Linked DNA regions of Mus musculus: region 1 is reported to be linked to region 2. The links are microRNA targets in miRTarBase. Many come from high-throughput screens and were not tested one by one. Region 2 holds a microRNA gene; the other region holds the end of a gene's coding sequence.
Evidence for each region. Region 2 holds the annotated microRNA mmu-miR-5130 (CUGGAGCGCGCGGGCGAGGCAGGC, at 1,754-1,777, opposite strand). A microRNA usually pairs through its seed, bases 2 to 8, with sites in the 3' UTR of a target mRNA and lowers its output. Matches are read on the target gene's strand: a 7mer-m8 pairs with bases 2 to 8, a 7mer-A1 pairs with bases 2 to 7 and ends in A, and an 8mer does both.

Region 1: miRTarBase lists Tns4 as a target of mmu-miR-5130. Seed matches in the 3' UTR shown: 7mer-m8 at 2,778-2,784 and 7mer-A1 at 1,797-1,803.

Annotation. Positions count from the first base shown.
Region 1 is chr11:99,064,480-99,068,810 of GRCm38, forward strand. Tns4 (tensin 4) reads right to left here. Exons shown (of 13, transcript NM_172564.3): 13 at 1,199-3,843. The coding sequence ends at 3,702. Among named protein-coding and RNA genes, the nearest start is that of Tns4, 23 kb to the right of the region's middle.
Region 2 is chr14:102,980,855-102,985,241 of GRCm38, forward strand. It overlaps Mir5130 (microRNA 5130), which reads right to left and starts at 1,778; the gene lies at 1,695-1,778. Kctd12 (potassium channel tetramerisation domain containing 12) reads right to left here and starts at 1,783. Exons shown (of 1, transcript NM_177715.4): 1 at 1-1,783. The coding sequence starts at 1,586. The coding sequence ends at 603.

The DNA.
Region 1 (4,331 bases), not on the chromosome of region 2:
CCTGGGCTTCTTTCATCTGCTCCTTGGTGAACTTTATATATAGCCACATTGAACACAATACATGTTTTCTCATGTAATCATGCTGAATGCAGCACGTTTTCTTATGTAGCCACATTGAATGTAACACATGTTTTCATACCCCTGCTTCATACACACACTTTTTTTTAAAATTATTCATTTTATATGTGTGAGTACACTGTAGCTGTCTTCAAACACATCAGAAGAGGAAGGACATCAAATCTCATTACAGATGGCTGTGAGCCACCATGTGATTGCTGGGAATTGAACTCATGACCTCTGGAAGAGCAGTCAACACTTAACCACTGAGCCATCTCTCCAGCCCACACACACTTTTTTTTTTTTTTTTTAACTTGTCTAAGAATGCTGGAGAGGTAGGGCTGGCATGGACCAGAAATGTAGTTTCCCCACCGCTTACTACGCCAGTGACACCCCCACCCCCACCCCACGCCTCAGTTTCCTAATCTGAAGAATGGGCTCAAATAAAAGAGTCACTCCTCATTGTAGTGAACACCTAGGAGCCCTTCTGGTAAAAAAAATGGCTCCTCACAGCTGGGAATGGTGGCAGAACACTGAGGCAGGGAGATTGCCTTGAGTTTCAGACTAACCTGCCTCCAAAACAAAAACTGAAACAACAGGGAGGTGGCTCAGTGGGTAGAGCCCTCACTGTGCACTATTAAAGATTCGAACTTGGATCCCCAGACCCATATAAAGCCAGTAGTAGTACACATCTGTAATCCCAAAATGCCGGTGGGGGGATGGAAAACATAGACAGGAGACTCTCTGGAAACTCATGGACAGCTTGCCTGGTGGACATACAGTGGACAACAGACCCTGTCTCAAACAGGGTAGAAGGTGCCCTCTGACCTCCACACTTAAACTGTAACATGCATGTACACACACACACACACACACACACACACACACACACACACACACAACTATAGGGGCTCAGTGGTTGACAGCACTAGCTGCTCTTCAAGATGAAATGGGTTCAATTCCCAGCACCACACAGTGGCTCACAACTGTCTGTGACTCCAGGGGCGCTCTAACGCCCTCTTCTGGCCTCTGTGGTCAATGCAAAATGCGCATGGTGTGTCCTGGTATGTTACTCTCTGCTCTGTTGGGTCCCCTTCTCTGCTCAGGACTCAGGAGACAGCTCTGAATGTCCAGAACCAGCTATGGTGCAAAAAACTTTATTTTCCATGAGGCACACAGGGAGTTGTGGAGGACTCTCCCATTCAGCCTAGAACTGGCACTACTAACTGGGAAAACTTTGCTAACACCCTGCAGACCCCGGCAGTGGCACAGAGCCTGATCCCACACTGGGAAGGCCGGTCTTGGCCTGTACCACTGACCTAGCATCCCCCCACCCCCACCCTTGGGTCTGATTTGCTTTTCTGACATTGAAATCATCATCCCTCAGGACTGACCTTGGCCAATGACAATGTTGCTCTGTAGGCTGATAGCGGGCAGGGACAAACACTTGCTTCACACTGAGTTACAGTGGGCTTCTTCTGTGAGCTTCCCCTTGCATGTCATGGAACGGTCTCCTAAGGAGGCAGGCGGACTGGACCAAGAGCAACAAATGCTGCAACAAATGGCTTATGCAAGGCTGGCAGGGTGTGGGAGGAAAAGGGCCCAGCTTCTTTAACCAGCTGGGAAAGCTGCCTGTCTGCATGCTTGACTCTCTGCTTCCCCCTTGTGGTTGTAAGGTTGGTGATGCCACATGGTTATGAGTGTGTGTGTGTGTGTGTGTGTGTGTGTGTGTGTGTGTGTTGGAGCTGGAGGAGGATCCAGCAAGACTGGAGCTGGGGCAGAGATATACTTGTCTCTGTACTATAGCAACAGGGTCTCTCTTCTCCTACCCACCAGATGTGGATTCCTTGAGCATTGCCAGACAGCTGTTGCTTACCAAGAAACTGAAAGCAAAGTTTGGGATGATGTTCATTTGTAATGGGTGGGCAAGGAGGGATTAGACATGAAGAATGTGAACATTGCTGAGTCTTTTTTTTTTTTTTCCAAGACAGGGTTTCTCTGTATAGCTCTGGCTGTCCTGGAACTCACTCTGTAGACCAGGCTGGCCTTGAACTCAGAAATCTGCCTGCCTCTGCCTGCCTCCCAAGTGCTGGGATTAAAGGCGTGCGCCACCTCTGCCTGGCCCTGCTGAGTCTTTTCTAATCGTGGGTACAAGGGTCTTCTACTGAAAAAAGCTAGCCTTTAGAATCCTGATTCAACATCACAGAATAATTGATGAGGTGAGACAAGAGTCCACGCTTGTAACAGCAGAGTCCAGGGATCTTTCTATCATGCTCTTGGGAAAAAGATTCCAAGACCTTGGCAAATTACACCTAAAAATCCAAGAAATCCAGGATGTTCCACCAGACAGGAGTCAAAAAACTGCAGCAGATAGATCTCAAGATCATGAACATCATGAATGAGAACATGAATGAGAACATCATGAATACTGCATTAGAGAAGGCCTCACCGACAGAACCTTCATTGCAAAGCAGAAGATGCAGGGATGTGAAAACTCACCCCTTTTCTGCTCCCAGACTTGACTCTGACAACCTTGGGGCAGGCTGAATTTGATGCCCCTTTCCCCAAAGCCAGCTGAAGTGGGTTGCATTATAAGGTGTATGCTCTGAGGCAGCCTGGTCTGCTCTGGCTGAGGCCCTTGACCTGGTCCCCTCTCCATCATAGACTGAACCTTGTAGGCTCTTGCCCATTCAGTACCCTCTTCCCACAGCAGGTCTTTGTGGAGCGATGCCCCCAGCTCCGTGTTGGAGTGTGGTCTCTTCAGGTAAAGGCTTTGAAGACCATTGGCTGAGATTTATGAAAACCTTAATCCCACTCCCATTGTGTGTGTGTGTGTGTGTGTGTGTGTGTGTGTGTGTGCGTGTGCACACACGCGCACGTGCATGCCTTTCTGTCTCTTTCTCTCAACAGGGTCTCATGTAGCTTAGACTGCCTTAAACTCATTATATAGATAAGAATGACCTTGAACTTATGATCTTCCTGCCTTGTAGTGCTGGGATTACAACCATTGACCATTGAGAATGGTTTGTGGGGCTGGTGATCAAATTCAGTCCCGTTCATGTAGGGCAATCAGTCTACCAACTGAGCTACACACATCCTCAACCCCAAACTTTTAAATCTCTGGGCCAGTGGATCCAAGAGGCCCTCAGCAAACCGAGAAAAGGAACAGGTGTGGGGAAATAGAATCTGTCCCCAAACTCCGCGAATCAACACCAGGTGCCAGCCAGGAAATCGATGGTTCTGATCCAACACCTGCTGTTTACCACAAGGCAGGGGTCATAGGTCTCTGGTACAACCTACCATGTAGGGAGTGCTCAGGGAAATGAAGCCAGACGGTCCTTGCAGACAGTTTTTACATAAGGGATCTTGGATGTGGGTGGGCTTCAGTAGTATGGAGGAACACACTAAAGACTTCCAGCCGAGTGTCCAAGGAGCGGCTGTCTTAAGGACGGGTGTCTTTATAATCGAAGAGACGGAGGCTCCAGAGTCAGGTGAAGGTTATTGCTGAAGTCACATCAGGTTCAAAGGGTTCAACTTGATCAATCCAACTTGAGTCCAAGAGATAGGTTTGTCAAGGAGGCCACAGTTCCATGTCCTGGGCAAGTCCCTTGAGATGTCAGAGAAGGCACACAGATGGCACCCTTCTACATCCTTTCTGTGTCCTGAAGCAGAGCAGTCACTAGGCTGATGACCTGGGAAGCTGGCTGGACCGCATCGTACTCTGCGAAGAGGTGGCACACGTTCTCTTGTGGTTCTGTCTGGCTCTTGGCCACAAACCCAAAGATCCTGGTGAAAGAAGACAGTCTGAGGGGATGTGGGCTCGAGAGACATCATGCTAAGGGGAGGGTTGGATGGGGAGGGCACTCAGCCTGAACCTAACTACCGCTCTCCAAGCCAACTGGCTTCAGTGTCTCCTGTGCGTGTATGTGCATATGTATGTGTGTATGTATGTATGTGTGAGACGCACATGTTTGTGTGGAGTTAGCATGTGTCTGTGTGTGAGCGTGGAGGCTGGGTGTCCTTCCTCAATTACGTTTCTTCCTCAATTGCTCTGTACTACATTTTGAGACAAGGCATCTCACTCAATCTAGGAGCTTACCAATTGGCTAGACTGGCCAGCCAATGAGCACCAGGGATCCACTCATCTCTGCCTCCCCAGACACACTGTATCTGGCTTGTCACATGGGTTCTGGGGATCCAACCTCGTGTCCTGTGCTTGAGTAGCAAGCACTATACTCAGAGAGCCACCTCCCCAGCATGTTCAGTTCCTCCTT
Region 2 (4,387 bases):
GTAACTTTAAAAACAAACAAAAAAATCTCTTTATTTACAGTCTCTGAACTGCGTCCTTGGGGTCTTCCAGCATACGGTCTACCATTCAATTGTCTAAAACTCTCTTTCTAATGAGGGTCAAATCTCTAACAACCTTTTAAAGCACTCTCTCCACACAGCACTCTCAGTTCTGATCTCTGAAACCGCTATGGAGTCAAAGGGTTTAAGATGTCAAGGACTCGTCCGAACTGCACGCCGGACACCGTGCAATCCGATTCTGATCAATTCAGTCATTCCCAGGTACTTGGTGACTGTCCCACTAGATCACGACAATCTGGGGGAAGGGTGGTTGGAGGCCAGGAGTAGAGGAAGCATGAGTGAAGGGCTACATCAGAACACTCTCTCGGCTAGTGGGGTCCAAAGATGATGAAGACGCCCAGAGGATTTGTGGCTGCAGATTCGCAAGTGGGGTGCAGACGGGTCTGGGTGACCTACTAGGAGATCTGGGGGTGGGGGCAGAAGGAATCGGGAAACAGGGAGGAAGCGAGGGCATCTATAATCCTGTCCCCCGAGGGGAGGAAGGGAAGTGGGCACCGGAGTGGCGAGGGGCGGGCGTGGGGAGCTCACTCCCTGCAGAAGACGTACTCGGTGTAGCTGGTCCAGATCTTGTCCTCGCTCTGGTCGGTGCTGCTAGCAAAAGCGCAGGTGCCCGTGGAGCTGCACGCCACCATGTGGAAGCCCGACTCGGACAGCTTATCGAAGGCCTGCTCTAGGAAGTTGAACTTGAGGTAATAGCGGGAGGTGTAGCGCTCCGGGGGCCGGTCGGGGTCCCGGCTCTCATTCAGGGTGTCCCCAAACACCTCCTTGGCCAGCGACGTCTTGCCGCACACGGTGATGCGCGCCACCCGCCGGAACTTGGCGTCCGCCTGAGCGTCGCGCCCGATGGTGTAGGAGCCGCGGTAGCCGATGGTGATGTAGCCGGAGCGCCGGCTGCCGTCCAAAGACTGGGACGGCGTGAGCAGGGGCCCCGCCGCGCCCCCGGACGGGCTGCGGCTAGCCAGCTCCAGCGTGGGCGAAGGCGCCCCGGCCGAGGCGCCCTCCTGCGGCTCGGGCTCTGCGTAGCCCAGCGGCAGCAGCTCATCGCCCAGAGAGCCCTCCTTGTGCACCCCGCGGCGCGAGTGCGGCGGCGGTGGCCCCGGACCGGGTTGCTGGGGCGCCCCGAGGCGACGCACGAGCTCCGGCAGCTCGAAGTACTCGGCCTCGCGCTGCAGCCGGCTGCGCTCCGGGAAGTAGTCGGGCAGCACGAGCTGCAAGTCCCGCAGGTAATCCAGGATGTAGCGGAAGAGGAAGCCGTCCCGGTCCAGAAAGAAGCGGCCTTTGCTGTCCCGGGCCAGCTCCTGCGGCTGCTGCTGCGTGAACATACGCCAGAGCAGCGAGTCGGGCACGGACACCACGGTGCAGCGCCGGGTCACATACACCTGCCCTCCCACGTTCAGCTCTACGATGTCCGGGAAGAGCGGCGGCTCCGCCGAGGACGACGACGAGCCGCTGCCACCTCCGCCTCCGCCCCCGTTGGGTAATCCTCGGGTGCTGTCCGCCAGAGCCATGGCCAAAAAGAGGTGGCCCGGATGGGCCAAGTGGCAGGGAGCGGGGTCGCGATCGGAAGCCCCAGCGGCTCTTATCGGGGAGCCCTGCGCTCAGGCGGCGGCCGGCCACTGAGAGCCGCGCGGTGCGAGCGCGCAGCAGTGCGCCCACGAGAGCCCCGGTGCGCTGCGCCTGCCTCGCCCGCGCGCTCCAGGCGAGTGGCGGGTCGCGGCCCGCGCGCCGCTTAAGTAGAGCCGCCCGCTTGGGCGGCGCGGCGCGCAGGAGGCGGTGGGCGGCTGCGGAGCCGCTGAGCTCGCTCCCGGGGCGGGGAGGGCTGGGGCGGGGTGGGGGTGGGGGAGGAGCGGGGAATGCATTTGCATGCTAAACGCTGACGCGGCTCGGGGCTGCAGGCTCCACCCTGACCCGCGCGCTCCGGGGGACGACCGGACTGTCACCGCCCGTCCGCCCACCCGCTCCGGGCCCAGCTCCTCTTCCTCTTCCGCAGTGGGTCAGAGCCTCCAGGCGCTTCTCCAGGAGGCTGATCACTAAAGCGATCCTCTTGTGTTCCCACCTCCCCTCCCGCCGCCCTTCTCGGCTGACCGCAGCCGGCACCCGGGGACTCCAGAAGGGGTTGGAAACTTTCTGGCAGAGTGGAAAAGCTTGATTGCCTGCGGCTAGCGCCCTCTAGACCTACCCGCTTCTAACAGTGCAGAGCGCTGCTGTTGGAGATCCATCCCCGGGTCTCTGGAAGTTCTGAAGAGACACTAACTTGGAAAGGATGCACCGGTCCCTTCAAGTCCAGACCACCCAAAGGTTTTTCACGTGACTATGTGACTAGCGTATAGCCTCGAAAAATCCCTAGAAACCACAAGCGAATGCTTCGCGAAAATGCTCTGTTAGATTATTTTGCGAGAGCATAAAGTCTTTGGTTAGGAAACCACAACACAGTACTGCAGTGAGCAGAAATGACTAGGAGAGGAAGTTGGGTGGACACAAAGGGGGGGGGAGGGGCTTACACTGCGTGGGCAAGAAAAGCTAATAAGCGCCTCCAATAGTGGGACGTGAGGCCTCCGGTTGCTTTCAGCCATCTGTAAATCGCACCAGAAAATTCCAATCTAATATTTTCTTTTATTCGTATTATTAGTATTTAATGATTTTACTAGTATTTCATTATTTTACTAAAATTCCGCTGATGTTTTATTTGTTCCTTGAAATGTTAATGCACGTATAGAAAATAATTTACTTTTAGCCCATGCATAACTGTTCTAAAGGTCCAGTAACCCGTGTTCTCCTCCTCCCTCCATCGTTCTCTTCTGTACTTTACAAGACCGTCCACCAGAGAAGAAAGGCTGTGTAGGTCTGAAGGCCCTTCAGATTTAGCCATGCTCTCTATGGACTCCTACTTGTTCAGCGTTTGGAGTCATGCACAAATTTCAGCCCACAGAATTCTGCCACTGCCGGGAAACCTTCCATGGTCTCCCAGGGGAATGAGACAGGTTGCTCTTCAAATTCCCATCTTTGCACTTGGCACGTTCTGAAATCTCAAATTTGTGGTCTGTTATCTGATCGTTGGTTTTTGGTGAATAAATAGATAAGGGCTTCAAGAAGCCCAAGATAGAGGAGACTCTGAAAAACCACAATTTTAATAAATGCTCTTATACGTTGCTGGGCATCAGGCTGTGGAGAATTCAAGGCTGACTACCTACATCTCCTTTAGAGCAGCCAAGAGGCAAAGGGTTGGCCATCTGAACAGTTATCAGATCACTTTGAAGGACAGGCTGTCAATCACAATAAGCCCAGAAAGATCTTTGTCTTAATAATGATGTCTACCCTTTGTGCGACTGTCCAATGAGCTTGATAGTCTTCTCACGGATGAATGTCATTTTCATTTCTGAAATGTTTATGTCTGCCAAACAATTACTGCACTCGTGTCACAGAGCTGAAATAAGATCAGGCCCCAGACCAGCCTGCTTAATTGCAGGCACAGATTTCTGATACTGAATATATTTCACCATTCTTCAACTGTTCCTTGGGATAAATGATAGATGACAGGAAAGTTCCGAGTCCCGACACTGAATGTGATATATCAGCATCTCAGGCCTGACAAAACTGCCACTTTTCTGTAAGCCCAAGAAAAGACTTCAGTGTCACCTTGGCACAACTGGGTCATTGTTCTATGCTGCCATGTCTCCCTTCAAGATCCTTCCCGTCTTAGGGTCACTACCTCTCCACCACCCCTCAAGACCAAGCCAACATTACCTCATGTTGACCAAGCCAACATCACCTCATTATCACCTCAGATCACTGCCTGGACCTCCAAACTGCCTCTACTCTAGCACCCATCAGTCTTCCATCACTAGACCAAAGAGAAGGATCCAGTCAGACCCTGTGTTGTGTGTTTCTTCCCACGTCACACATGAGCAAAACCAAAGTCCTTCTAATGATGTGACAGATGCTTGCTTGTTTCTGACCCACACATGCTTCTTTGACCCATGCCATAACACTTTGCAATGAATGTGCTGGGTTCTCATGCCATTGGCCCTTCCCCTCTCTCTTTCCTTAAATGACTCGTCATCCCCCACACTGTGTCCCACCCCTTCCTTCTTCCCTTCCCCAGGTCCCCTTTGCCCATTACCCTGTTCAATGAAGTGCAGCTCTATTCCACAGCTTTCTCTTCCCTGCCTTCTTTGTTGAAAGTCTCTTTCCCTGTGTCAGAATGTAAGACCCAAAGAGGTCAGGGATATTTCTCAGCTCTGTTCATTACTATATCCTTAATATCCAGAACACAGCCGGGGCTCTATAATCTTTTGATAAATACTTTGAT